6 linked regions of the Canis lupus familiaris genome follow. The protein of the gene in region 1 purifies or fractionates together with the protein of each later gene. This does not show direct contact. Links are inferred from orthologs where the notes say so. Each region holds a gene or a part of one and is shown in the gene's direction. Other genes may lie near its edges. The genes, in order: HIF1A, LAMP2, SEPTIN9, CUL2, FASN and HDAC4.

Region 1 (4,618 bases):
GTTCCCGTTTTGTTTTTTAATTGTTTGCACATCTACTTTCACACTGGGTTATAAACTTCTGAGGGCAAAGGTTATGTGTTTTAAGCTTTGTATCCTTGGTTCATTTCACTTAGTAAACACTTAAATATTTATTGATTAAAGGGACAATAAAACTTATATTTAAGCCAAACACAAAGATGGGTCTGTTTTTCATCATTCCTCTTCAACGCTATCCTGCAGGTATCATTTTCTTGGCACCAAGGAAAATATGGCACCCTTCTTAGAAAGACCTTGGTCGTTTATCTATCTTTTTATTTTAGGACCATCTTTAGGTCATACCTCGTGCATCAGTCTCAAAGAATTCTTCTGTGTTGGTTTTATTACATGTGAATCAGCATAAAAATTGTGAGGATCTGTTTGTATCCTTCATGTACTTGACTATTACATTTCTTTGTCACCATCACTCTTCCCAAAGGGATATCTGAAGTTCTTGAATTTTTAGAGGTCTTTATTTCATATTGCTATTTTATACCCTGAATGTAACCAGGTATGCATGAGAGATTAGTATAAAGCATCTTAAAATGTTCCTTTTCATAAAGCAGAATTTTAAGAGACAGGTTATTTCAGTCACCCCCACCCTATTGTGTCAATGCTCATTTAAGAACTACTAATCTCTCTTTTTTGACAGTGGTATTATTCAGCACGACTTGATTTTCTCCCTTCAACAAACAGAATGTGTCCTCAAACCAGTTGAATCTTCAGATATGAAAATGACTCAGCTATTCACCAAAGTTGAATCAGAAGATACAAGTAGTCTCTTTGATAAGCTTAAAAAGGAACCTGATGCTTTAACTTTGCTGGCCCCAGCTGCTGGAGACACAATCATATCTTTAGATTTCGGCAGCAATGGTGGGTCTTTAGTTATTGTTTCGATTGCCTAAAAACTCTATCTGTTGCTGCAAGCCCATTTTAACTAAACTTGGACATGTTATTGTTGGTAATCATGTGAATATTGCAGTCTTACATATTTTGTTTTTCAATGTCTTTTTCAAAGTATTTGCTTAAATATGTTTGCCCCTGCAATTTTTAAGCATTCCTGCTTCTGTGTCATTGTTGTAAGTTGTGCTTCAAAGGGTTCTTAGGTCTTTCTTTTTCCTACTTGAATGTTTCTCAGCTACTCTTATTTCTATATCCTGTTGCCATATTTTCTCCACAGTGTAAAAATTATATTGCAGTAGGTGTAGTTCATTAAAGGATAATCAGTCATAACATAATATCAGACACTGAAAATGAAAATTGTAATTTCAAAGTTGGTTAAATTTTAATGAGTAGAAGGTATGAAAAGGTTGGAATTGCAGGGGATTTTTATGCCATAAATATAATAGGACCTGTCAACAGTAGATTGGAAAGACAATTCAGACTTAATGATTATACCATAATATCTGAAAACTTTCTGATTAAGGAAAATTTGGTAACACTCTTGTTTGAGTGAATTAGACCTTTTGTAAAAGGGGGCATATAATTCCCTATATGTTAAAATCTAGCCATTCTTTAAATTGATTAATAATTTTTCCCCTATAGACACAGAAACTGATGACCAACAACTTGAGGAAGTTCCGTTGTATAATGATGTAATGCTCCCCTCATCCAACGAAAAATTACAGAATATAAATTTGGCAATGTCTCCATTACCTGCTTCTGAAACTCCAAAGCCACTTCGAAGTAGTGCTGACCCGGCACTCAATCAAGAAGTTGCGTTAAAATTAGAGCCAAATCCAGAGTCACTGGAACTTTCTTTTACTATGCCCCAGATTCAAGATCAGCCAGCTAGTCCTTCTGATGGAAGCACTAGACAAAGTTCACCTGAGGTAGGTGTCATGATCTAAGAAGAGGATAACTTTCATATTTTAATTTTAGGAATGTATTTATAAAATGAATACAAAAAAAGTCTTGAATTTAGACATCCACAGAGAACAATGTGTGTGCCTGTAATTGCTACCCTCAAAGGTATATTACCCTATGAGTTGGAGAACTGTCAAGTAGCAAAAGGCTTATTTTAACTAAGCTTTTTAAAAGCGAAGGGACCCTAAGCTATTTGCCTAATTTAGCCCAATTTTCATCACTGTTTTGAAATCCTAGATAAGTATAATATGAAAATACCAAGTCTTAAACAGAGTAAATACCTAATAACTATTTTTTACTCAAGTTCTGTCTTGATAATAGTTTTTCTATAAACACAATGAAAATAGTTTTTAAGGGTTAGGCTGAGGCCAAGACTAAAGATGTCACATAGGGCTTTATTTCTAAATCTAGAACGATTCCATTTCAGAGCTTACTATGTCAAAAAATATGCTCAGGAGTAGTAAGGCAACTCAGACTTGAATATTATGACCATGAGGCACAAGTAAGTCTTAATAAGTGGTGAATAATTTTACATGTAATATTTATCAGTTCAAACTGGTGAGCTAAGAGTAGGAGATTTGACATCTATCTCACAGCCTTCCGGAAAATACAGTCTGTGCTGTAGTTGCTCAGCTTACCCAGCATAAAAATCTATTGATTTATTTTGTTTTTTTATCTAACAAAAGTAAATCTAACAAATGTTAAAATGAAGAAAGCAAAAGCTTATTCTTAGACTATGTAGTTACAAGTGACTGGTTAGAATCCTTGCTTGGAACCCCTAAAATAGTACTATATTCATTAAGGTGAATGTAAGTAAAAGAACTTACGTCCTCACCCCTACCCCACCCCCGAAACATGTGAGATTTTTAGGTACATCATCATGGAAGTTTGGCCTCTCAGGATAAAGGTAGATTCCAGTGAGTATATCATATCTAGTTATTGGCCAATTAGGTACCATGTGGGAGTTGAATTAGTAGATGAGTTTTATTCTTCAGAAGAAGCAGATGAATGTATCTTTTAGTCCTAATTTCATAAATGATGTTGTTACATAGAAATGTATAGTTATAAATGCAAGCTCTGAAGTTTAACTTGTCACTAGTTAGATAAAATGTGATAGAAGAAATGGACTTTGTTGTGTATTCTCTGAGGTCTGGCTTGAGAATTCTAACAACTAACAAAATATATGTAGGTTTCCTCAGGGAAAAGTAAACACATTGAATTCCTTTTACAGCCCAACAGTCCCAGTGAATATTGTTTTGATGTGGATAGTGATATGGTCAATGAATTTAAGCTTGAATTGGTAGAGAAACTTTTTGCTGAAGACACAGAAGCAAAGAATCCATTTTCCACCCAGGTATATGAACTTGTTTATTATATTTTCTATTAAACTTTATTAATTTTTAGCTTGAAGTGATTTTGGGGTTAACTTTTCTTTTATACGATGTGGCCATTGTAAAACTCATGTACTTGTTGCTTTAAAGGACACTGATTTAGACTTGGAGATGTTAGCTCCTTATATCCCAATGGATGATGACTTCCAGTTACGTTCCTTCGATCAGTTGTCACCACTGGAAAGCAATTCTACAAGTCCTCAAAGTGCGAGCACAATTACAGTATTCCAGCCGACTCCAATGCAAGAACCTCCTCTTACTACTACCAGTACCACTGCTACCACTGATGAATTAAAAACAGTGACAAAAGATGGCATAGAAGACATTAAAATATTGATTGCAGCTCCATCTCCTACCCATGTACCTAAAGTAACTACTAGTGCCACAACATCACCATACAGTGATACTGGAAGTCGGACAGCCTCACCAAACAGAGCAGGAAAAGGAGTAATAGAACAGACGGAAAAATCTCATCCAAGAAGCCCTAACGTGTTATCTGTCACTTTGAGTCAAAGGTATTTATATATAACACTAACGTTACAGCTCTTTTATTAAAATGTATGTAGGGTTAATTATGTCTAAACATAACTAACTTTCTGGTAAATATGCTTTAAGAATATTAAATTGACATACAAATTCTGATAAAACAAGCACTCAAAAAAATGTTTCTAAATTAACTTGTGTATTTATTTTCTTGAAAATAACCACATCACCTATCTAAATGTAGGAGGTAGGAGGGTCTTCCAGTACCTTTAAAAAAATAATGCGGCCAATAAGTTCTTAAATGTACAAAAATTGGCCCAATTACTTGTAGCTAAGTAAATCAGACTAGTTAACCATCTTCACTGTTTCTGTCTCTTTGAGTTATTTTAAAGCTTACTTGAATAAAAGACCTTCCAACTTAAGGGTATTTCCAATTCCCCATTTCAAATTGAGCCTGATAGTCTTCAATCCTCAGTATTTAATACAGGTATTTATTTACAAGCCTTCTTTTAAAATTTATGTATAATTGCTTTTATTTTTCATTACATATTTATAGAACATTAGCTATATTATAGGTTAAATAAATGTTTAAAAGCTACAACAAGAATCTAAGCATGATTTATGATGTTGCTTTTATGGAGTTAGTTTGAGCAAATACCTTTATACCACCCAAATTTTAAGTTACAATTTCTATATATAATTTTTTAAGTTGTATTTTTTTATAAGTTTATTTTTTATTGATGTTCAATTTGCCAACATATAGAATAACACCCAGTGCTCATCCCATCAAGTGCCCCCCTCAGTGCCCTTCACTCAATCACCCCCACCCCCTGCCCACCTCCCCTTCAACCACCCCCAGTTCG
Region 2 (5,365 bases), on another chromosome or scaffold:
AGCCTGCTTCTCTCTCTGCCTATGTCTCTGTCTTTGTCTCTGTCTTTCTCTCTCTCTCCTCTCTCTCTCTCTCTGTGTGTCTTTCATAAATAAATAAAATCTTAAAAAAATATATTAAAACTCCCTAGATGATTCTTTCGGACACTAACATTTGAGAATTAGTGCTTTATCCCAACTTGAGATTTTTATAGTTTTTGAATGCTTTCATTTGTTGACTGAGGTTTCATCTGTTCACCTGTCAAGCATACCAAATAGTATGTCTAGTATGAGTTCATTAAAGCATATTCACATGTGGATATGCACAGGAAAAACAAGTGGAAGGATAGATTTTCTTTCTGTGTTTAAAGAAGATTCTGGGCAGTGGCGACGGCGGCGGTGAGAGGATGAACAACAAGTTCGACGCATTGAAAGATGATGACAGTGGGGACCATGATCAGAATGAAGAAAACAGCACACAGAAAGATGGTGAGAAGGAAAAAACGGAACGAGACAAAAGTCAGGGCAGCAGTAAGAGGAAGGCTGTTGTCCCTGGGCCAGCAGAGCATCCCCTGCAGTACAACTATACTTTCTGGTACTCCAGAAGAACCCCTGGCCGTCCCACCAGCTCACAGAGCTATGAACAGAATATCAAACAGATCGGCTCCTTTGCCTCTGTGGAACAGTTCTGGAGGTTTTATAGCCACATGGTACGTCCTGGGGACCTGACAGGCCACAGTGACTTCCATCTCTTCAAAGAAGGAATTAAGCCCATGTGGGAGGATGATGCAAATAAAAATGGTGGCAAGTGGATTATTCGACTGCGGAAGGGCTTGGCATCCCGTTGCTGGGAGAATCTCATCCTGGCCATGTTGGGGGAACAGTTCATGGTTGGGGAGGAGATCTGTGGGGCTGTGGGTCTCTGTCCGGTTTCAGGAGGACATTATTTCAATATGGAATAAGACTGCCAGTGACCAAGCAACCACAGCCCGCATCCGGGATACCCTTCGGCGAGTGCTTAACCTACCTCCCAACACCATTATGGAGTACAAAACCCACACCGACAGCATCAAAATGCCAGGCAGGCTGGGCCCCCAAAGGCTCCTTTTTCAAAACCTCTGGAAGCCGCGGTTGAATGTGCCATGACCCTCTCCCTCTCTGGATGGCACCATCATTGAAGCTGGCATCATCGGAGTCTCTTGTTCTGTTGGCGTGCTACCTGGAAGATCCTTCTGTCCTGGACAAGAGGAATTGGAAGAGCATTTTATGTTTTAAGAACAGGCTGATATACAGCAGCTACAACAACAGCTGAGATCACTTAATAAATGGTGCTAAACTAAAAAAAAAAAAAATAAAGAAGATTCTTCCTCTTTCTGAGTTGAATTTCTCCATCTGAAAAATAGGGTATTGCAATTAGGCGAACCTCAAGGCCGTCCTGCTCTGGCTGTCCGCGACACCAGGCTACCCACCCGCTCCCTTGTCCATTTAATCACATGAACTGCAGGGGCATATGAAACACGTCTTATGGAACAGGCGTTCGTAGAATAATTCCGTGTTATTAGTGTTCATATTACGTTATGATGCTTAGCAATCTTTTTAATCCAGCAGAATTATTCTCTTCTTCCTCAATGAGTTGGAACTGAAATAAACTCTACTACCTACACCCCGCGAAAAGTTAATCCTCTCTCTTATTAAGCCTTAGAAAGAGCCGTCCGCACCTATCTCTTGGGCGCAGAAGAAGGACTGTGAACCAAAAAGCCAGGGCGTGGTCGCCCCGCCCACCGACTCCTGCATCACCTCCCCTCGCGCCGCTTTCCAGCGAGGCGATTGGCTAAGCGCAAGAAAGGGCCCCGCCCCAAGTCTTATGACCCGCACCGAGGCGGCGCGTCCTGGCGTTTGCAGTGCCGCGCTCGGTGGTCCGCGGTCCTCCCGCCCGGTGTCGGCGAGCCCCTTCCCGGGTGTTGCTGTGCCGTTGCCACCGCCCCCTCCCGCCCCGCCGCCGCCCCCCCGCTTGGCGGAATCATGGTGTGCTTCCGCCTGTCCCCGGCTCCGGGCTCGGGGCTCGTTCTGCTCTGCCTTGTCCTGGGTGAGTTGTCGGGCCCTCCTGCTCCGTCCGTCAGCCTGGGCCCGGGGAGCCCAGTGCCAAGGCCACAGGCCGCAAGCCTGGTCCGGGGGAAGGGAGCGTGGGGCAGGCCGCGCGGCTGACCCTGGGCGGCGGCGCTTGGCCCGGGGAGGCGAGCCGTGACCTACGGAAGGCCTGACCGAGAGATGGCGGGGAAGAAGGGCCCGTGAGAGGGGGACGGGGCAAGCCAGCCGGGTGGGCGCCCAGGGAGTAGGGGGGGAAGAGTGGGGAGTGGAGCAGCCCTGGGGAGGAAGAGTAACTTGGGGAAGAGACTAAAAAGAGTGAGTCTAGGAGGGACGTACGGGCGATTCTGGGGTGGCAGAGACCATTGGGAGACTCCTGGTTTCTTAGGATCTGGGTAGAGTTTTGAAGATGGTGGAAAATTATGGGGTGGGAGCGAAAATTGGGGAGAGAAGGGAACCGCCTTCGCCTGCGCGCAGAGCCTTGGGGGAATGGTGGGGAGTTAGGGGCGCTTATGACCGTAGAGTCTGGGGGACAGTGAGAGGGCCGGGGGGCGTTGTGTGGGTGGAAATTTGAGGCCGTGGAGGAAGGGTGATGAGAGAGATGAGGACCGCTGCCGGATTTGAGTTTGGTGGTTGGGAGTTTTGAGGGGTAGGGACCTAAGGTGACCCCGGGGCAATTAACAGGCGAGAAAACTCGGACCTAACCTCTGGAGACTAAAGGGATGAGGGGGAACTTTGGCGGGGAGTGATCTGACTTGGAGGTGCTGAAGATGTCGCTTTTCTACCAGTTTTGCTACTTCCTCCCAGCCAGATACTGATTAAGAACAAGCAGGCAAACCAACTTAAAGCCTTAAAAAACAAAAAAACAAAAAAACCAAAAACCAGAAACCTCCGGGTATTTCAGCTGGGAGGGCCTCCCAGATGTGCGGTTTTGGGGGTGGAGTATTGAGTCGTGTATACTGCCTCTGCCTTCCGAAGCTCGTTTTCTTCTCAGTGACACAACTGGCCTTTTACTTCATTTTTGGAGGAGGAGGATAGGTGACTTGCCAAAGACTGGGTTGTTACCAAGTCATAAGAAAGGCTGGATGAATGTTGGCTGATTGTATTATCCCCCCCTCCCCCAAAGATCACTGGGTCCCTGAGGGCTGTAATGCCTGAAAGGTGAACTTTGACCAGAGTGTCTCTTCCTGACCTGATTCATCCTGTGCTTGTTGCTATCCACCAGCTTGCTGTTTGTGACCAAATAAAAGAAAGGGGGAACAAACCCAGGTGGTGGGGGTGGTGGTGGAGGGAGGGGAGGGAGTAGGCTTATTAAGGGTCCGAAAGGGCAGTGAGAGGTACACAGTCTGTAATTCTCATTTCAGTAGAATAAAATCAGCACCCTAAAATAGTGGATTCTCAAACTGGGAACATTTGGCACTATCTGGAGACATTTTTGGTTGTCGCAACAGGAGATTGCTTTTGGCATCTAGCGGGTAGAGGCTGGGGATGCTGCTAAACATCCTACGGGGCATAGCATAGTGCCCCCATCCCCCAACAAAGAATTTTACACCTCAAAATGTCAGAAGTGCTAGAGTTGAGCAATCTTGCCCCAGAGTGAGAGTGCTGGAAGGGTGGGTTCTTGATGATCTAATCTAGTGCTTCTCAAGGATCTTTTTGAGGAGGTACCTGTCAGATAAAAACTTATTTCTAAAATAATACTAAGAAGTTATTTGTTTCTTTCACTCACACTCTCACCAGTGTACAGTGGAGTTTTCCAGAGGCTACACAATGTGTGATGACATCACCACCACTCTCATGGCTCTGATGTTGTATTTTAGTCACTTCTTATTTTTTATTTCGAATATGGCAAATACCGACAGATATAACGCACGTAAACCAATGTGAATAAGAGAGTAAAGGGTCCTGACACCAGACGTTTCAGACTCCCCAATCTAGTGCAGCTGTGCACATAGGGCAGGAGACACCCCTGTAGCCCTTCTGAAAGGAAGCCTTGGAGACTTTGCTCAAACACAGTTCGAAGCTGTTGTTAACACTGCTGCCAGGCACTTACTGAGGGGCCAGCGACCCTAAGAGAGGATTGTTTACAACGAAAAGCACCTTATCAGTGGCTAGAACTCATCTGACCAACGCATCTGTTAATCAGTAGTTCACTGCCAATTGAATCTGCACAAACAACCCGGTTATTGTTCAGAGAAAGTGAAAAAAAAAATAATAATTGTCCTACTTGTTGGCTTTCGTGTCATTAGATTTTTTTTGTTGTTTCTTTTTTTATGAAAGCTTTTTTGTTTTGTTTTTACAAAAGCTATGCTTGCTCATTGCAGAAAATAAACAAGCAAGAAGAAGCACATGAAAGAACCCGTCAGCTCATCTGCTAGTTTGCCATTTATTGATCTGGACTAACTAGATTCGTCTTCTTGGAAGAGTTCCAAGATCGATTTCCTCCACTTCCAGGTTTAGAACAGGGTTTGGGGGGAGTAAAAGTTCATAATGTACCTAGATTAGATTTTTAGAAGGTATCAGTGAACTAGAAATCCTCTCTTCTCCTGGGCTGCTTTTCCTGACAGTTGTTGGTTCAGTGCGGAACTCAGGTTCCTTCCATGTGGTTTTCTCTCTTAAGAATCGAGCTGGTCTTCAGTTGCCTGGTGGGGTTGGCACGTCACTTTTCATATATCAAAATACCAAGAATGGGTTTTTAAAAACTCAATAAATATTTGTAAAGTACCTGTTGTGAATCTTGTGCTGCTGTTCTGGGTACCAGTGAAGAGGGATCTGCCCTGGATTTATAGTCTCATTAGCTTGAGTGCTCAAGCTGTGCCAGTTTCACTTTGTAACTTTATAACTATCCTAGCTCCACGGAAACTTTTTAAAAATAGCTACTTTAGGGCAAGTATAGGAAAGAGTTCTTAGGAGTTATGTATTGGTCCTTTTCACAGAGATTAAGTCATGCTCCTCATTTGAATGAATTATAACTGACTAGAGAACTTTCTGAAGAAAAGCGATACGATTTTTCCAAAGCTCTACAGATGCATTATAAAGAGAGTAGTGGATAAAAACCATTTCCTAGCATCATCGTCTAAGTGTTTTTTCTTTGTGACATCATAGATTTCAGAATTCTGTGGCTATTGATTTTTACAACTAGTTTGACTTCTGGTTTTTATAGGGTTGATGTTTTTTTTTAAGATTTATTTATTTATTCATGAGAGACACACAGAGGCAGAGACACAGGCAGAGGGAGAGGCAGGCTCCCAGCGGGGAACCTGATATGGGAGACTCGATCTGGATTCCGGGATCACGCCCTGAG
Region 3 (4,439 bases), on another chromosome or scaffold:
GCTGCTGGGTGGAGGGTTCCTGTGTCCTGTCACCACTCAACCAGAACCCTCTGGAGAGCAGGAGCCCCGTCGGGCCTGCCAAGGTCGTATCCGCAGAGCCGGGTGCCCGTGAGGGGCCCAGTACTCCCCTGTGGGGTGGTGACTCCCATGCCCACCTGCCCAGGCTCCTCTTGGCACCAGAACCTCTCAGGGAGGGGAGCGGCAGGGCTGGGGAGGGCCTTTGGGTGACATTAAAGCTCCTCTGTCTCTTCTCAGTTGAGAACACCACCCACTGTGAGTTTGCCTACCTTCGGGACCTCCTTATCAGGTGAGTCAGGGCTGTGGGCTGTCGGCTTGGCCCCCTGAAGGCCCCGAGAGGCCCCTGAATGAGGAGTGTAGGCAGTGGGGGAGCAGGCCTGGACAGCAGCTGGCCTGACCCCCCCCCCCCCAGGAGGACCTCCGAAGTCCGTTGGCCTAAAACACTGCCATGGAAATGAAGCAGAAAGTAGAAATTCTTCCTCTAGATGATGTCACCTGGGTGGGAAGGGGGCCAGGTTCTCCTCTCTGCAGCCTGGGTCCATTAGATTCAGGGCCTCAGGGGCCTTTGGTGCCAGGCATGGGGGCGGCGTCCCCCACTCCCATCCCAGTGTCCTCTGACCGCACTGCTTTGACCTAGCTGAGGCTCCTTGGTGTCCCCTGGGCGGCCACCCCTAAGCCTATAGAGCGGGGGTGGGGGTGGGGGTGGGGGGCTCCCGCTGTGGCACCAGGGGCTCCCCGCTTCTCAGCAGGTGGATGCATTCTAGGAATCTAGGAATGAAGTCAAGGGGAGGGACAAGGCTATCTCTTGGGGCCTCTAAGTTGGGGGGATGGGCTGTGGCTTCGGGGGGTGACCCCACCATGCTGGAAAGCCTGGCAGCAGAAGACACCGTCCCCCCCCCCCCCGCCCCGCCACTTTCCAGTCTGTCCTGAGGGCCTGGGCTGCAGGGGAGGGAAAACCCGAGCATAGGACCAGTGGGGTCGACCAGCACTCCAGCTCAGGCCCTGGCCCCAGGACCACTGGTCCTTGCCCCGCCCCCCCCACCTGGCCAATGGCCTGGGGCTTCTAGGTGGCAGCAAGGACATTCCAGTGTTGTCCCCTCTGAGTTCGCACCCAGCCCCTGCCCTTAGACTTGACACGGGGGGACGGGGGCACAAGCAGTGGGACGTTTGTGTTCTTGTGCCTCGGAGACGGCACCCACAACCCCGCCAGGCCTGGGCCCTGGCCCACCTACTGGCCCCTCCTGGGGGGGCCCCCTGAAAGCCAGGGGGTGGGGACTGGGGTCGGCCCCATCTTGTGACCTCCCTGTATCGTGGCCCTCCTTCCAGGACACACATGCAAAACATTAAGGACATTACCAGCACCATCCACTTCGAGGCCTACCGGGTGAAGCGCCTGCACGAAGGCAGCAGCGCCGTGTCCAACGGCGTCGACGAGAAGGGGCCCGAAGCCCAGGAGATGTAACCCACCCGCCCTGCCCCCGGGACCCTGCCCCCCAGTCCTCTCCAGCACCACCCCCAGGCCTGCCCACGTGCCCCGTCTTATTTTATATCATTTCCTCCGTTCGTCATCGTCCTCCGCCCCCTGACACGCTGCCGAGTAACGACACGCCGTGTGCCCTCCTGAGTATGCGTGTTATTAGCCGCTGACTCCGGGGCCTGGACCGGCCTGGGCTTCGGAGAGGCCGCGCCCCTCTGGCTGTCCCCGAGGTCTGGGGGGGGCAGGAGGGGCCCCCCCATTCCGCGTCAGTCCCCATCCCCAGGCGCAGCTCCCGGTCGCCACAGCCTCCGATCAGGACAGGGTGGTGTGGGGGGAGACCCGGAGCCCCCTCCCGCCCCCTCCCTGCACGGCCCCAGGCCCTAAGGGCCCTAACTCAGACCCGGAACTCAGAGAGCCCCCGCCCTTGCCCCACCCATCGGGAGAAGAGTTGATTCCATGAGATGCAAGTTGCCGATTGCTTAGACCCAGCAAGGCCCACTGGCTGCCTGCTGCCCGCCCCCCACCCCCCCACGAGCCCCCACGAGCCCCCACGAGCCCGTCCTGGAGCAGAAAGTGCCTTTATCTCAGCCGTCCACGAGCCAGCGTCCTTTCCCCCGCCGTCCCCTCCGCTGGAACTGGGGACAAGTCAGACAGAGAGAGGTGTGCCTCCATCTCTCCGTCGTCCCCCCTCCCCCCAGGATTTGATTGAGCCTTCAAGGGAAGGAAAAGGATGCACCCCACTCCAGCCCACCCCCATGATTCTGGGGAAGGTCCAAGCAAGTGAATCTGGTGGAGGAGATGAGGAGGAGGTGACTGCCGGAAGGAGGGGGCTGTGGGCCGAGCCTGGGCCTGTCAGAGCGGCCCTAGTGGCCCCGGTGTCTGCCCTGCATCGCCCCACAGAACTGGGAACTGGGAGAGAGTGTGTGTGTCCGTCTGTCTGTTTAGACACCTCTTTGGCCCAAGATGCTCTGGTTAAATTATGCCCAGGCGGCCACCCCAGGTACACATGCAGCCCTCCCGGGCCAGGCCTTGCTGACACCATGACCCCAGGAGCTTTTCATGGCCCTAAATGTGCCTGGGCTCCTGTGCCCCAGAGCCCATCGTAAAGACACCCCCACCCCGCAGAGAAGGAAAGGTCAGGAGTCAGGTGCACTTGGCCCATCGTCAGGCTGCAGACGGGATTTTCCAAGCAGGGCTGTGCCAGTCGCTCCTGGTCCTGCTCCTTCACCCTCTGTCTCCCCCGAGAGACCAGCAGGGACCCTCGCACAGCAGAGGGCAGGTGAGATGAGACCCAGGTGAGGTGCACGTCTGTCTGCACCCCCCGGGCCGGCTCACTGCAACCCGTGAGAACAGCAGTGGAGGAAGGGGGTGCAGAGAGGCCTGTGCAGAGGTGTGTGTGTACGCACACCTACGATATGCGTGCATCACGTGTTCTCTCCCCACCCAAGACAGGAAGGACCCCTCAGTGAAACCGTTGACTTGCCGACTTGCCGTGTTTTTGCCAAAACCAAGATTGCGAAGGACACCTCCACCTCCAGCGGCGGGGCGGGGGGCGAGGGGCGGCCTCCCCGGCCGGGTGGACTCGCTTTCCTTCTCTGTAGCCAGACCTTGAAAAAATTGTGACTTTCACTGGGATCTGTTCCGCAGTGGCCTTTTGCTATGTGCCTCCTGAGAAATTCGTCTTTTTGTATAAATAACAAAGTTGAAAATGTATTTCCTGAAATAAATGTCCGAAAGCAAACCTGGAAGGGGGGATGTGTTCCTCTTCCTGGCCCCGGAGGCGCGGCCTTCCTTGCAGAGGAAGCCGGCACCGGGGTGCTTGCTGGGTGTGGGGGGCTGTTTAATGGTGGCGGGGACGCCGGTTTCGGGGAATCCAGAAGCACTCGTTTCTCTGGAAAGCCAAGGGCAGAGCTTTCCTAATTTATTCACTGAAGGAGGCTTGGGAGGGTTTCCCACGGGGAGGCGCTGCCAGCTGCTTCTGTTCCTATATTGTTGGAAATAAAGTTTTTCTTCTTAAAATCCGCCCTATCAGATTGGACCCTATGAACTGGTCAGTATTTGACAGTATTTCCACACTGGCGAGTTTGTGCCTAGAGAACGGGGAGGAGACAGGTTCCGGAGGGTGCCGTGGGCAGGGGGCGTGAGCTCGAGCGTTCTGGACCCAAGCCCTTTGGCTTGAAACCACCGCGACCCCCAGGGTGCCTCTGGGTGTCCAGGGGATCTCTGGGGCTGCCTAAAACGACAAAAATACTCTCCCAGTGCTTTTTTTTTTCTTTTTTAAAATTTTATTTATTTAAGAGAGGCAGAGGGAGAAGCAGGTTCCCTGCGGGGAGCCCGGTGCTGGACTTGACCCCAGGACCCCGGGATCACGCCCTGAGCCGACCAGGTGCCCTATTCTGTGACTGTTCTGGAGGCCGAGAGCCCAAGATTGGGGTGTCGGCAGGCTATGCCTGGCTCTGGCCTCCTGCTCTGTGCTTTTGTCCTTGCAGACAAGAAACCGATTTCTTGCCCGATTTCTTGCCTGGCACTCCCATTGGGTTTGGGGCCCACCTTAATCCAGGGTGGCTTCATCCCGTCCTTACCTTGTATCTGGAAAGACGCTGTTTGCAAATAAGGCCACGTTCTGAGGTTCTGCAAGGACATGAATTCGGGGGAAGGTGGGTGCTGTTCCAGCCCAGGTGTCCCCTTCCCCCTCCATCTCTGGGCCTCAGGGACGAGGTGGCGGCAGGGGTGGCCGAGGTGGAAAGCAGAAGTCCCCGCACTGGGACTCAGATGATGTGGGTTCAAGGTTTGCTCTGCCGCCGACAGGCTGGGTGGCGTCAGGATTACCGCAGCCCCTCGGCTCCCCCCGCCCACCCCCTGCCCTCTCTGTGGGGCAGGTTGACTCCTTTTGCAGGAGGTAACTGGGTTTCCTGCCCGAATGAATCAATGGAGATGGACAGTG
Region 4 (4,618 bases), on another chromosome or scaffold:
TTAATAGCCTACTATTTCTGTCATCAGTTCACTTAATTAATGATATATATTTTTAAAGATTTATTTATTTGGGGGGTGGCAGGAGAGGCAGAGGGAGAAGAGAATCCTAAGCAGATTCCCTGCTGAATGTGGAGCCCAACACAGGTCTCAATCTCATAACCCTGAGATCATGACCTGAGCTGAAACCAAGAGTCAGACGCTTAACCAACTATACCCTCCAAGCGCCCCTGCTGGATGATATTTTGTAGCCTATAATTAAATAGTTTTAAATGGCATATATTTTGAAATTCAAATCAAGCTTTTCTTAATACTGAGAAATTAATTTTTGATTTCAGAATCTTAACAAAATATTAAATTCTTAATATTAAGATTTTAATTGAGTCAATCATTAAGCATGAATTTTTAAGCTTATAACCTAAAAAGTTTAAGTTTATAAGCTAAATTAAGTACTTAAGACATTATGTATTTTCTAAAATGTATTATTTTTGCTGCCCGGGAATGTACAAAATATAGATGATTGCTTGTTTGCACATAAATTTTAACTATGAATCTGCTGTTCCTTAGCAGAACTTCTTAGCTTATTATTGAGAATGAATTCATTTGCTAAGTGCTTTTTGATCTTGCTAATGGAGAAAACACCATGTGTGATCAGAGTGGCTTTCATAAGCTTGATAGTTGTGATTATAAAAATTGACTTAACAACTTTCACTTGAAAAGAGGCCACGTGCTTCTGGCAGACAGTAAAACATGAATTCGAGGGTAAACTTCATAAGAACCATACTAAAGCCGTGTATGCCACTGGACACTACTTGTTTCTGTTGTCGGGTTATTTATAATACGTATACGTATTTTCTTATTGCAGCACTTTAAAAGACATTTGGTTGCTCACTTTTTCAAAATAGGGTGACATAAATTATGAGCCTAGTAGTTCATAAGAATTAAAGTGTTAAAAAAAAAGAATTAAAGTGTTAAATTCTGTTTAAGACAATTTGACTCTTTATCCGATGGTTATATATATTAGTTGGGCCATAGCTTATTTCTAAATCTAAACAGATTAAAATTCAAGTATAAAATTAGAAAAGAATTGATATTTGCTTCTTTCTTTATTTTACAGAAGACAGTTGTTTTTCTCTTAAATAATCTTTATAATGTAAAATGATGAGCGTTTAGTCTTGCTTGGTCATTTAATTTTATGATATTTTATTTGCAGCAACTCTTATTTAATTGTTTTAATTTTTATAAATATACATGCATTATTTTCAATTATAGGAAGACATTGATACAGAATCTTCATTTTCATTAAATATGAACTTTAGCAGTAAAAGAACAAAATTTAAAATTACTACATCGATGCAGAAAGACACACCACAGGTGAGTGATTTTTAATGTCATTTCTTTGGGAAATATTTAAACATTGGACTTCACAAGCGGTAACTGAGATAATGGAAAACTTTGCACATCAAAATTAATAATGTGATGCCTTTTTTATGATTTATTCTTTGAGCTTACTAAACCTTGCAAACCAAACCTCTGCCAGTATTTTAGATTATAAAAATAATAGATATCTAAGAGTAATGTATAATATAATAGATATCTAAGGGAAAAGGTATTGCAGTATAGTCATACTTTTAGACTATATTAAAATGCAGAGCATTGCTTTGCATTCTTCACAGAAATTCCTATTTATTTTTAAAGATGTTATTTATTAACTTGAGAAAGAGACAGAGAGAGCACAAGCAGGGGGAGAGGCAGACTCTCCCCGGAGCAGGGAACCCTATGCGGGGCTCAGTCCCAGGACCCTGAGATTATAACCTGAGCCGAAGGCAGATGCTTCACCATTTGAGTTACCCAGTGCCCCCAAAATTCCTACCTTAAGTAGTAATATAATCTCATATTTTTTATTTGTAAAATAAGGGAAAGCTTTATAACATTCTTTCAGAGAAGTTGTTGGAAGTATTTCTCAAAATTTCATGTGCAAATGAACCACTTGGGGTCTTGTTGATACTCAAATTGTAATCTAATAGGTCAGGAGTGGAGTTCAGACTACCAGATGAGCCATTTTGCAAGGTGAACATCTGCTGTTGATTCTTTTAACCCAGTAATGATTAATGCTTTGCTCTGGGATAGCCTATTAAGGTCACTTAAAGTTTCTTGATTGTCTTTGCCCTATCCTTGGGCATGGGGCAGGATATAAAATTATATAAGATGTCAGGCCCTCTATAGGAACTTACATCCCCTTGGGGAGACAGATGTTAGTTAATTGTTAAATTTGAACCCTAAAAAAATTGAACCCTAAAATGTTTGAGATCCCATTTTTCTCTAGACTAATGAATAATAATTTGTAATATGTAGATTGTATTTTATCTTTTATTTTTTAAAATATTTTATTTATTTGAGGGGGGCAGAGGGAGAGTATCTCAAGCAAAAGTCTTGAAAATTACTGCTGTGTTCTACTTTATTGCCTATTTACATTAAATACATTCTATTATACTGTTAATTTTTTTTTAAATAACCTTCCAACTTTAACCCAAGAAATTATAAATAACTCACTGTAGATATTCCTTTAGTAATGATTATGTGATAATGATAATGGGCATTTGATAGCTGTATAACTTGAAGCTCGGTATCAAGTGGAAATTTATGTAAACTCAGTGACAAAATGAATTATGAAAGGTTCAATGACTTACTGTGTCGTTTGCTTTTTTTTTCCCCCCTGTGAAACAGGAAATGGAGCAGACTAGAAGTGCTGTAGATGAGGACCGAAAAATGTATCTCCAGGCTGCTATAGTTCGTATCATGAAAGCACGGAAAGTACTTCGGCATAATGCCCTTATTCAAGAGGTAAAAGGAGGGGAAGCCCTGAGGGCTTTTGGGGATAATGGATATTATCAATGAATAGATTAGGAATGTTTCTTTGTCAGAGTGGTACATACATAATAGGATTCCCAAATAGCATAAAGAAATGCTTTATTACTTAATGAGAACAGTACTTAGAATTTCTGTATTCAGGTTTGCTTTGGCTTAGATTTAGAGGTCTAAGGTTCACCAGGATTTTGAGCCTTCTGTCCAGTTATTGAAAGAAATTCACTACTTCAAATATTCATTCCATAAATATCTGAGTGTCTACATGTGATGGAGTGCCTTGATAGTCATTAGGGATGTGATGCAGAGCAACCCATGATGTGGATCCTGCCCTTTTGGAATTCACCATCTAATAGAAAAGAAACACATTATTGAAATAGTATGGAAGCAAAATATAAAATTACATTAACAATGCACTGAAAAAGAGCTACAGTAGTATGAGAATGTGCACAAAAATACTGACTTAGAAAAAAAAAAAGTACTGACTTAGGGGATGTTGGCGAAAGGTGTGTTTTTTTGTTTTTTGTTTTTTTAAGATTTTATTTATTCATGAGAGACAGAGAGAAGGCAGAGGGAGAAATAGGCTCCTCGCAGGGAGCCCAATGTGGGACTCAATCCTGGAACTTGGGATCGTGCCTTGAGCCGAAGGCAGACGCTCAACCGCTGAGCCACCCAGGCGTCCCTGGAGAAAGCTTTGAGAAAGTGTTAGTTCAACTAGGCACTGGAGTGTGAAGGTTAAACAGAAAATGGAGTGTGTGTCTGTGTATTTAGATAGATTGATTAATTTATAGTTTAATTTATGTATGAATATTATTGGATTTTGCTATATCTGTGTTCTGCTTTGTAATTCCTTCACAACAGAAACATTAGGCTTTTTCCTTATTTTGCATTAAATTTTTTTTGTCATCAACATTGATCTAATTGTTTCCTCTCCTTGGGCACTGTCATGTGAGCTTAAAATTTTAATACTGTTCATGGTGTTCACTTGCTTGATGTATCACATACGTCCATGTAGGATGATTTTATTCATTTTAATGAACATGATTTCATAACTAAGTATATTTTTCCCATGTGGATTAGGTCTGTTTGATGGAACCTCTATACATTTGGGGCACTTCACAGCTATTGGTTAAAAATAATTATTTATAACTGACTACTTGGCAGTAGTTTGACATCTGTGTCTCTCTTACACAGGTGATTAGCCAGTCAAGAGCTAGGTTTAATCCTAGTATCAGCATGATTAAGAAGTGTATTGAAGTTCTGATAGACAAACAGTACATCGAACGCAGCCAAGCGTCAGCAGATGAATACAGTTATGTAGCGTGATGTCGTTCTCCTCTAGTGTGGGTGTAAGAAGATCATTGCCATCACCATTTGGTGTGTTCCTGTGGGAAAAAGCAGGCCTGTGCCTCCATAATTTGGTCATTTGGCAGCCCCTGTTTTTCTGCTGTTTACAACATCACCAGTGCCACGTCATGAGCGTCCGAGAAAATGCCTAGAGATATTTCAAGCTCATGTCATTATGACATTTCTTAAAACTTTATTAAAAGAATGAGTGAAGTATTGCTGAAATGTGGAAATTTGGTTGGGTACCATGCTTTTTCTCCCCTTCACGTTTGCAGTTGGTGTGTTGTTTTTTTTTTTTTTTTTTTTTAATGTATCTTAAAGGACATAAAATAAAAAACTTAAATATTGTAATATGACAGATAACCTAATAATTGTATCTACATTAAAATGACAAACATGATATTGCTGC
Region 5 (4,618 bases), on another chromosome or scaffold:
TGACCTCCATGGGCCTGCGACCCGACGGCATCATCGGGCACTCCCTGGGGGAGGTGGCCTGCGGCTACGCAGATGGCTGCCTTTCTCAGGAGGAGGCCGTCCTCACTGCCTACTGGAGGGGCCAGTGCATCAAGGAGGCCAGCATCCCACCAGGGGCCATGGCAGCCGTGGGTAGGTGTCCCCTCTGGGCCCCCCCTTTCCACACCTCCCACCAACCCAGGAGCCCTTGGGGTGGGGGTGTCATCTCTGGCGTTCCTCGTGTTCACCCTGGGCAGTGGCCGGGGGTCTCGGGGAGCTCCATCGGCCACCGTCCTCACTGCAGGGTGCCCGGTGGCCCCCCCGGCCCCTGCCCACTCAGCGGTCAGCATCAGTCCACACTGCTGCTCTTCCTACCAACTGGGCTAAAGCCATGTGGGGCATGAACAGCACCCCTCCCCGCACTAGAAGATGTAGGGTGTCGGGTGCACTGGCCCTGGCCCCCTTCCATTGGCACCTGCCCCCCAGGGGCTGCAGGAGAAGCAGTAGGCTAGGCCGGGGACAGGAGGGACACCTCCCAGAGCCACCACCCCAGGGACTGGTTGGGGTGGGCTGTCCTCACTGCAGCAGGACCCGGCTCCCCGCCTGTGGGACGACAGGGGAGACACCTTCCCCCGAGATCAAACACGGCAGGAGTGAAAGTGCCCCATAAAGGCCCCGCTCGGCGGCTGTCATTACCGCACCCCTGTCATTAAGGCCTGCCCTGGGCAGCGCCTTCCTCTTGGTGGGGCCCTGGCTCCCCGCTGCCCGCCCCCTGAGGCCATCCCTGCCCACAGGCCTAACCTGGGAGGAGTGTAAACGGCGCTGTCCCCCTGGCGTTGTGCCCGCCTGCCACAACTCCGAAGACACAGTGACCATCTCGGGACCTCAGGTAGGCCCCAGGAGGCCAGGCTTGTCCCCGAGTCCCTTCCCGACCCTCACGGAGAGCTTTGTGTGGGGACCCAGGCAGATGGTCCGGCTCCACTCGTCCACTCCTGGCACCCCTGTCCCTAGGCTGAGGTGGCCGCGTTTCTGGAGGAGCTGAGGCAGGAGGGCGTGTTTGCCAAGGAGGTGCGCACGGGCGGCATGGCCTTCCACTCCTACTTCATGGAGTCCATCGCCCCCACGCTGCTGAAGGCCCTCAAGAAGGTGGGCTGGCCGCCCCACGGGGGACTTCCTGGAGGCGCGGGTGGGGGTTGAGTGCCCACACAGCTGACCATGCCGTGTGTGCAGGTGATCCGGGAGCCAAAGCCCCGCTCCGCACGCTGGCTCAGCACATCCATCCCCGAGGCCCAGTGGCAGGGCAGCCTGGCCCGCATGTGCTCGGCGGAGTACAGTGTCAACAACCTGGTGAGCCCCGTGCTGTTCCAGGAGGCGCTGTGCCACGTGCCTGAGCACGCCGTGGTGGTGGAGATCGCACCTCACGCCCTGCTGCAGGTGCGTCCCCGCGGGGCCCGGGGGCGGGAAGGGGCGGCGGGGGCCGGGGGGCTGAGGGAATGGGCCTCGGGAGGGTGGGAACCTGTGAGGAAGGCCAAGCCGTCTGCCCCCGCAGGCCGTCCTGAAGAGAGGCCTCAAGCCCAGCTGCGCCATCATCCCCCTGATGAAGAAGGAGCAGAAGGACAACCTGGAGTTCTTCCTCAGGAACACGGGCAAGCTGCATCTGCTGGGGTGGGTCAGCTGCCGCTGCCGGGGGCGGGGGCCTACGCCCGGCTTCTCCCGACGGTGAAGCCTGTTATCGGGGCCGCTCCGTGGCTGTGGGGTCATCCCCAGGAAGTGGGCTGGGGGTGCTGGGCCGCCCGAGCCCCGTGCTACGGCCCCCACCCCAATGGCGATCTGCGGGGTCCCATGGGAGGTGGTGGGCTGTGGGAATGACAGGATGGTCCCAGGCGAGGCCACCGGGGCCCGGTGTGTGCCTCACACCTCCCTGCCACCCCCCAGCATGGACGCCAACCCCAACGGCCTGTTCCCACCCATGGACTTCCCGGTTCCCCGGGGGACCCCTCTCATCTCCCCCCACATCAAGTGGGACCACAGTCAGATCTGGGACGTGCCTGCCGCCGAGGACTTCCCCAACGGCTCCACCGGCTCGTCCGCTGCCACCATCTGCAAGATTGGTGAGTGGGGCCAAGGGCAGTAGAGGGATCGGGCGAGGGTGCCGGTGGGCTTGGCTTCTCCCTCCTGGCCGCCGGCACTAAGGTCCAGCCCACACAGACACCAGCCCCGAGTCCCCTGACCACTACCTGGTGGACCACTGCATCGATGGCCGTGTCCTCTTCCCTGCCACCGGCTACCTGTGCCTGGCCTGGAAGATGCTGGCACGTGCCTTGAACCAAAACATGGAGGAGATGCCCGTGGTGTTTGAGGACGTGACGCTGCACCAGGCCACCATCTTGCCCAAGACCGGTGAGATGGGGTGGGCCACTGGGGTCAGGGTGGGGAGCCGACTGCTGAGCCCTGATGCTCATCTACTACCTTGCTGTCCACAGGGACCATGGCCCTAGAAGTGCGGCTTCTAGAGGCTTCCCAGAGCTTCGAGGTGTCTGAGAATGGCAACCTGATAGTGAGCGGTGAGCAGAGGGCGTCTGGCTGGGCTGCAGGGTCTGGTAGGGGCTGGCCTCTGAGTGGACCTCAGCCGCCAGCTCCTCTCTGCCCACCCTCAGACCCTTCTGCCCCCGACCCATAGGAAAGGTGTACCAGTGGGAGGACCCTGACCCCAAGCTGTTCGACCTCCATGGTGGCGCAGACCCCGTGGACCCCACGGACCCCACGGACCCCATGGCCGCGTTCCGCCTCACCCAGGGGGACGTGTACAAGGAGCTGCGGCTGCGTGGCTATGACTACGGCCCCCACTTTCAGGGCATCCTGGAGACCAACCTTGAAGGTAGGGCACCAAATGTCCGTTGATGCTCTGGGAACGAGCCTCGGGGCCGCCTCCCCTCAGGCAGGGCCTGACCTGCTGCCCAGAATCCAGGTGCCATGTGACTCCGGCGTCACCCAAGCTGTGAGGGGCCGCTGGGGGCACCCAGGCCAGGGCATGGAGGAGAGGGTGCCGTGAGCAAGAGAGACCCAGACCAGCCAAGCTGACAGCCCCTCTGCCACAGGCAAAGCCGGCCAGCTGCTGTGGAAGGACAACTGGGTGGTCTTCCTGGACGCCATGCTGCAGACGTCCATGCTGGGCAATCCACAGCGCACCCTGTGCCTGCCCACCCGCATCACCTCCATCCACATCGACCCCGCCCTTCACCAGCAGAAAGTGTACTCGCTGAAGGGCGATGCCCGAGGTAGGCCCACGCCCAGTCCCCGCAGGCCTGTGTCGCTGCGCCAGGTGCTGCCCATGCTCACCCACCTCTTTCCTCAGTGGTCGACGTGAAGGTGAGCAGCTGCCTGAACAGCACGGTAGCCGGCGGTGCCCTCATCTTGGGCCTGCACGCTTCTGTGGCCCCAAGACGGCAGCAGGAGCAGCATGCACCCATCCTAGAGAAGTTCTCCTTCACCCCCTACATGGAGGGAGGCGTCCTGGCTGGAAACGCAGCCCTGCAGGAGGAGCTGCAGCTGTGTAGGGGTGAGGCCAGCTCCCCACCTGCGCTCTGGCCCCTGACGCCTCTGGCAATGGGGGTGTTTCTCAGCTTCTCACCACACCCCCCGCGCTTTGCAGCGTCCTGCTGCTTCTGCGAGAGGCTCCCCATCTTGGGCAGGGGCTCTAGGCACAATGTTGGATTTGGTCCTTCCTCGCTACGTCCCCAGCCAGCCATCTGCGTGTGGTGCCACAGGGGCCTGGCCCTGCAGACTATCCCCTGCAAGGGCTCGTCCCGTCCCCATGCAGATGGGTGGATAGAACAGACTGGGGTGCCACGGGGGATGTCCAGCACTGAGCCCACACTACGTAGTTAGCCCTCCTCTGTGCCCCTGACACCCTGGAAGGGTAGTTCTTAGTCTTAGGGGACCAGGCTGCCCACCCCGTCTCTCCCATGCATTTGCTTATGCGGGGACAGGGCCAGGATGTGGGCCCTGGGAGGACAGTCACATGGGTCCTGGTTCTGGATGGATCCCTGCTCCAGGCAGACGTGCTGGGGGGAGTGCTGGCCCAGCTGAGACCCTCCCTAGCGCCCCTTTCTGCCCCCTCACCCCCCCAGGGCTGGCACAAGCACTGCAGACCAAGGTGGCCCAGCAGGGCCTGAAGATGGTGGTACCCGGGCTGGATGGGGCCCAGGTCCCCCGCGAGTTCCCACAGGGAGGCCTGCCTCAGTTGCTGGCCGCTGCCTGCCAGCTGCAGCTCAATGGCAACCTGCAGCTGGAGCTGGCCCAGCTCCTGGCCCAGCAGAGGTCCCTGCTGCACGATGATCCCCTGCTCTGCGGCCTTCTGGACTCCTCGGCGTTGAAGGCGTGCACGGACACCGCCCTGGAGAATATGACCAGTCTCAGGATGCACATAGTGGAGGTGGGTGTGCGGACCGCCTGGCGTGAGGTCACGGGGTTAGAAGCTGTGCCCAGGCTGCCCTCACGTCCCTTCCCGGGCTGCCCTGACCTCGGGCAGGGAGGGCGCTGGCCAGTGGGTGGGCCTTTCTGGCCGGTGTTCCCAGCTGGGATCAGGAGGCCTGTGCAG
Region 6 (4,618 bases), on another chromosome or scaffold:
TCTTTTTTTTTTTTCTTTAAAAGAAGACTCCACGCCCAGCCCCGAGCCCAGCGTGGGGGTGAACTCTCGACCCTGAGATCTCGACCTGAGCTGAGATCAAGGGTCCGACGAGCCCCCGGCCGCCCCGCCCTCGGTGTTGACTGACCGGCTCACCGTCCTGGGCTGACAGCCCTTGTCTCTGGGGCTTTGACGGCCACGCCCTGTCCTGTCCTGTCCTTGGCCGTGTCCCCCCCCCCCCCCCCCCCCCCGTCCCCTGCTCTGCGGCTGCGCCCTGACGGACCCAGGCAGGCAGGTGCTTCAGGCATGACTCTTCCTGCCCGGGTCCCGTCCCCTCTCCCCCTGCCCCGGGACACCGAGCAGACGGACCCAACCCGCTCGCTCCCCTCGTCCCCGGCGCATTCAGGGTCATTGCTGCCGCGGCTGTGATTTCATTCACAGACGTTCTCCTGGGCCGGCTTTAAATCGTCCGCTTCGGTTCAGTAATCCTGCGTCCGTATCTTACTTCTGATACTCACTGATACTCACTAATCATTTACCTTGTAGTTTAAAACTGATCATTTCAGTGACCGTGGTCTTTGAGGATCTAAACCTGCCGTTTTTTTACTAGACTTCTAACTCCGGGCAGCGCTGGCTCGGATGCTTTGCCTCGGTGCCGCGTGACCGCGTGGGCCTGGGTCCCAGCCTGGGTCGCCCGCGTGAGAACGTCCCCAGGTCCACCCGCCCTCCCACGGCCGCCCTTGCCGTGTCGGGGCCCCGCCCAGGACCCCACTGTGCGTCCAACCGTTCGTGCCCGCGCCCTCTCAGGCTGCCCTGGGTTGTCATTTTTGGAGTATTGACAGTTGTCAGCAATCAGGCACGGCTCGCGGCTATGCTGCAGAAGAGCCCTCGTGCTCGTCCTGTTTTCCCTTGTGCTGGAAGCGGGGCGGGGGACCCGGGCGCAGTGCCCTCCTCTGTCCGGGCCCGTGCCGGGCGCGCAGCTTCTCTCTGGGGACGTGAACCGCGAGCGCTTGCGTAGAGCAGCGTCGGCCGCCTTCCCCGTCGAGCCGGCTTCTCCCCCCTTCCATGCGGCCCGTTGCAGGGAGGCCGGGGCCGCGGCTCGGCTCCTGCCCGAGGAGACAGGGTGGAGGTCGGAAGGGGCTAGGCGACAGCTGTCGGGGAGGGGCTGGGTACCCGAGGCATCTCAGATGCTTCTCAAGGAACGCGTGTCTCCTCCCGGTACGTGTTCGGGCACTGACTCCCCCCCGCACGGCCGCTGGCCCCTCCAGCCCGAGTCTCCGCCCCTCCGCGTGGCCGTCCCCCGCCTGGGAAGCCGCGCTTGCCCCAGAGCCTGGGTCCTCTGCCCGAGACCCCCCTTGTCTCTCCTGAGCCCCGCCCGCGCCGGCTGACTCCCGTGTTTCATGATGTGTGCGGCCGGGGACTCAGCCCTTGGAACCCAACTGGCCACACTGGCGGGCGGCCCGCAGGGGGCCAGGCGCCTCCCGAGAGGGTGCACGGCTGCTCCGCACATCGCGGCCCTCTGCTGACGGTGGAACCTGCCCATTCCCAGGGAGACCCTGGCCCGTCCCTGCCCGCAGAGCCCAGGGTCAGAACAGACCCCCCCACCGGTTGTCCCTGCGGGCAGCTCGGGGCGCGTGGGGGGCCGTGGCCGTTGTCGTGCAGGCCTGTCCCGGGATGCGTGACCGCCCTGGGCAGCTTCCAGCTTCCTTCCGGAACCCAGCAGATCTCCCCCAGTTTTGTAGGCTTGTCTAGTAATTTAAAGATCTTTAAAATTACTTTTGTGTTTTCATGATGTATCCCCGTGAGCGTGCTTAGGTGTCGTGTGGAGGACGCCCGGTGTCCCCTGCGGCTTCCGTCCCGTCCTCTGCCGTCCACACCGACCGGAAAACTGGGAGCACAGGCCCCCCTCAGAGATTCCCCTCACTTTCTTCTTTCTTTTACCTTTTCCCCCATTTTTGGAAGAACACCATCGACAGGATGGCCAAGCATTCTTACGTGTAAGACTAGGGATGTGAAAGTGGTATTTCCAGAAAGCAGTCATTGTTTCCCTAGTGTTACGGGGTGGTGTAGACGGGGTCTCAGTGGGTTCCAAGCAGACGTCCTTGCCCGCCAGCCCGCTCCTGGATGCGGTGTCCGCTCAGCCGGGAGCTCACGAGCACACTTGACGGTCTCCCGAGAAGAATACCTCAAAGAAAATAAATCCACTTCCGTTTTTAAAAAAATTGTACAGGGGATGCCCAGGTGGCTCAGCGGCTTAGCGCCTACCTTCAGCCGAGGGCATGACCCCGGGGTCCCGGGATCGAGTCCCACATCGGGCTCCCTGCATGGGGCCTGCTTCTCCTTCTGCCTGTGTCTCTGCCTCTCTCTCTCTCTCTCTCTCTCTGTGTGTGTGTGTGTATGTGTGTCTCGCGAATAAATAAATAAAATCTTTAAAAAATAATGATAATAAAAAATAAAAAAAGTCGTACAGTAAATAGCAAAGCCACATTTGGCTGCTGCTGCTTTTCTGCCCGTAAATACACTCAAGAAACCGACGCTGACTTCAAACCTCCCTGAACAGAACACGTGCAGGGATTATGTCGACATCCGTCACGTTTACTGTGTATTTGTATATTTTTTTCTAGCTTGATCCTCTCCCAGAAAAGGTTTTACAGCAGAGACCCAACGCTAACGCTGTCCGGTCCATGGAGAAAGTCATTGAGATCCACAGTGAGTTGTGTGGGCCACGTGCTCGGCGGGGAGCCCCAGGGGTGAGGGATGACCCAGGTCACTGAGGTCGCGGTGTAGGCGGGTCTCCCGGTGCTCCCCAGATGCAGGTCCCCACCAGCCGCCCCTGCTGACGAGCCCCCGTGTGTGCGAGCAAACACCGAGCGGCCGGCCCCCACACGCTCCCCTGGCGCTGCGGCCCCCTCGTCTCCTCCCCCTCGCGCCGGGCCGTCCTGTGCTCCGCTCTCTGGAGTCGGGGGCAGCCCCGCTCTCACGGCCCCCCCATCCCCCCAGCCGGTGCCCCTGCCTCGGGGAGGACTCGACTCCAGGAGCCCCGCCTTTGCGAGCCCGTAGCCTGGGTGCTGCCTGGCTTCCTCTCCTGCAACAGGTGCTTTTAAAGGTGCCAGTGAGGAGTCAGGCTTGAGCCGGGGGAGGCCCAGTAACCCAGCCCCCTCCCGCCCCCCCCACGCAGGCCAGTACTGGCGCTCCCTGCCGCGCCTCTGCTCCACGGTGGGGCACTCTCTGGTAGAGGCCCAGAAGTGCGAGAACGAGGAAGCCGAGACTGTCACCGCCATGGCCTCGCTGTCCGTGGGCGTGAAGCCCGCCGAGAAGAGGTGAGCGCCTCCGCCCCCACCCCCGGCGGGCCCTTCTGCCTGCGGGACCACCCTCTGCAGGCACCCAGGCCTCTGCTGTCCTGTGGGCATGTGCCTTCTCTACTGGGCCCTGCCTCCTGCTTGGGCATCCCAGGGAGGGATGGTCGGGTGTGGGGGGAGGGATGGGGGGATGGACGGGAGAGGGATGCAAGGATGGAGGGGGAAGGATGGAGGGATGCGGGGGGAGGGATGGAGGGATGGAGGGGGAAGGTCTATGGGGATGGAGGGGGAAAGATGGAGGGATGCAGGGGGAAGGGATGCAGGGATGGAGGGGGGAGGGATGTAGGGATGGGGGAAAGATGGAGGGATGCAGGGGAGAGGGATGGAGAGGGGGAAGGATGCACGGGGGAATGAGGGGAGAGGGATGCAGGGGGAAGGGATGGAAGGATAGAGGGGGAAGGATGCAGGGATGGAGTGGAGAGGGATGCAGGGGGAGGGATGGGGCAGGGCTGCAGGGATGGAGGGGGAGAGATACAGGGGTGGAGGAGGGCGGGGAGGGATGGCGGGTTGGCAGGCAGGTGCCGGGCCCCACGGTGGACGCGGGCTGCAGGGCCTCCTCTTTCCAGGGTGAAAGGCCCGTGGGAACCCTCGAAGAGCCTTCGCTCTGGGGCAGGGGCGGGGGGTGCAGGGGCGGGCGGCCCTCCGGGTGGCCCTGGCCTCACGCCGCGGCCCTCTGTCTCTCGCCCGGCGCCGCCGCAGACCCGACGAGGAGCCCATGGAAGAGGAGCCGCCCCTGTAGCCGCCCGCCGAGCTGCGGGTCTCTTGTTTGTTTGTCCCCGTCTTGAAGCTCCGCCAAGAGCGGCTCCCGTTTGTGTGCGGCCTGCCCGCGTCCGCGAGCGAGCGCGGCTGGAGCAGCAGCGGGAGGCCTCTGCCCGACGGGGCGGCCCAGCGCGGACCGGGACCCACGCCGGCCGAGCAGACGCACAGACACACGCGAGGCCGGGCTCTCGGCTCCCTCGACGGAGGCCGCGGAGGAAGGAAGCCTGTGGCGGCTCGCGGCAGAGCTGCCCACTTCGTGGCCACGAGGGAAGGAAAACGAAAAATCAAAGATCTAATAATACAAAACGGACTCGATGAAAACTGGTGCTCACAGTTGATTATTACCCACAATTCCACAGTCTCCGTGTAAACCACTCGACTCATCCTGTAGCTTCTTTTTTTTGTTCGAGAGAACGTTTTCTGGGCTCCGGCCGCGACCGGGCGCCACAGCGGCGCGGCGGGGCCCACGGGGCCGCGGGGTCCGCGACGGGCGGGGGCCGGAG

What was found.
Region 2: the proteins of HIF1A (region 1) and LAMP2 purify together in Homo sapiens (affinity purification with western blotting; 3 studies listed by BioGRID). This does not show direct contact. The link is inferred for Canis lupus familiaris from reciprocal best matches to the Homo sapiens genes HIF1A and LAMP2.
Region 3: the proteins of HIF1A (region 1) and SEPTIN9 purify together in Homo sapiens (affinity purification with western blotting; 4 studies listed by BioGRID and IntAct, with this or other methods). This does not show direct contact. The link is inferred for Canis lupus familiaris from reciprocal best matches to the Homo sapiens genes HIF1A and SEPTIN9.
Region 4: the proteins of HIF1A (region 1) and CUL2 purify together in Homo sapiens (affinity purification with western blotting; 7 studies listed by BioGRID and IntAct, with this or other methods). This does not show direct contact. The link is inferred for Canis lupus familiaris from reciprocal best matches to the Homo sapiens genes HIF1A and CUL2.
Region 5: the proteins of HIF1A (region 1) and FASN purify together in Homo sapiens (affinity purification with western blotting; 3 studies listed by BioGRID and IntAct, with this or other methods). This does not show direct contact. The link is inferred for Canis lupus familiaris from reciprocal best matches to the Homo sapiens genes HIF1A and FASN.
Region 6: the proteins of HIF1A (region 1) and HDAC4 purify together in Homo sapiens (affinity purification with western blotting; 4 studies listed by BioGRID and IntAct, with this or other methods). This does not show direct contact. The link is inferred for Canis lupus familiaris from reciprocal best matches to the Homo sapiens genes HIF1A and HDAC4.

What each region holds. Positions count from the first base shown.
Region 1 is NC_049229.1:36,930,305-36,934,922, forward strand, and holds part of HIF1A (hypoxia-inducible factor 1-alpha), read left to right. Parts: intron 1-667; coding exon 668-888; intron 889-1,560; coding exon 1,561-1,847; intron 1,848-3,112; coding exon 3,113-3,235; intron 3,236-3,362; coding exon 3,363-3,787; intron 3,788-4,618.
Region 2 is NC_049260.1:93,174,227-93,179,591, reverse strand, and holds the start of LAMP2 (lysosome-associated membrane glycoprotein 2), read left to right. Parts: upstream 1-1,836; 5' UTR 1,837-1,998; coding exon 1,999-2,062; intron 2,063-5,365. UniProt on the Homo sapiens protein: Lysosomal membrane glycoprotein which plays an important role in lysosome biogenesis, lysosomal pH regulation and autophagy.
Region 3 is NC_049230.1:4,399,510-4,403,948, reverse strand, and holds the end of SEPTIN9 (septin-9), read left to right. Parts: intron 1-255; coding exon 256-307; intron 308-1,344; coding exon 1,345-1,480; 3' UTR 1,481-3,523; downstream 3,524-4,439.
Region 4 is NC_049223.1:2,210,047-2,214,664, forward strand, and holds part of CUL2 (cullin-2), read left to right. Parts: intron 1-1,269; coding exon 1,270-1,371; intron 1,372-2,724; coding exon 2,725-2,841; intron 2,842-4,056; coding exon 4,057-4,188; 3' UTR 4,189-4,618.
Region 5 is NC_049230.1:1,062,569-1,067,186, forward strand, and holds part of FASN (fatty acid synthase), read left to right. Parts: coding exon 1-171; intron 172-812; coding exon 813-907; intron 908-1,029; coding exon 1,030-1,164; intron 1,165-1,248; coding exon 1,249-1,452; intron 1,453-1,567; coding exon 1,568-1,683; intron 1,684-1,953; coding exon 1,954-2,129; intron 2,130-2,226; coding exon 2,227-2,418; intron 2,419-2,501; coding exon 2,502-2,582; intron 2,583-2,698; coding exon 2,699-2,896; intron 2,897-3,116; coding exon 3,117-3,296; intron 3,297-3,373; coding exon 3,374-3,577; intron 3,578-4,148; coding exon 4,149-4,453; intron 4,454-4,618. UniProt on the Homo sapiens protein: Fatty acid synthetase is a multifunctional enzyme that catalyzes the de novo biosynthesis of long-chain saturated fatty acids starting from acetyl-CoA and malonyl-CoA in the presence of NADPH.
Region 6 is NC_049246.1:49,601,296-49,605,913, reverse strand, and holds part of HDAC4 (histone deacetylase 4), read left to right. Parts: intron 1-2,621; coding exon 2,622-2,706; intron 2,707-3,175; coding exon 3,176-3,317; intron 3,318-4,055; coding exon 4,056-4,095; 3' UTR 4,096-4,618. UniProt on the Homo sapiens protein: Responsible for the deacetylation of lysine residues on the N-terminal part of the core histones (H2A, H2B, H3 and H4).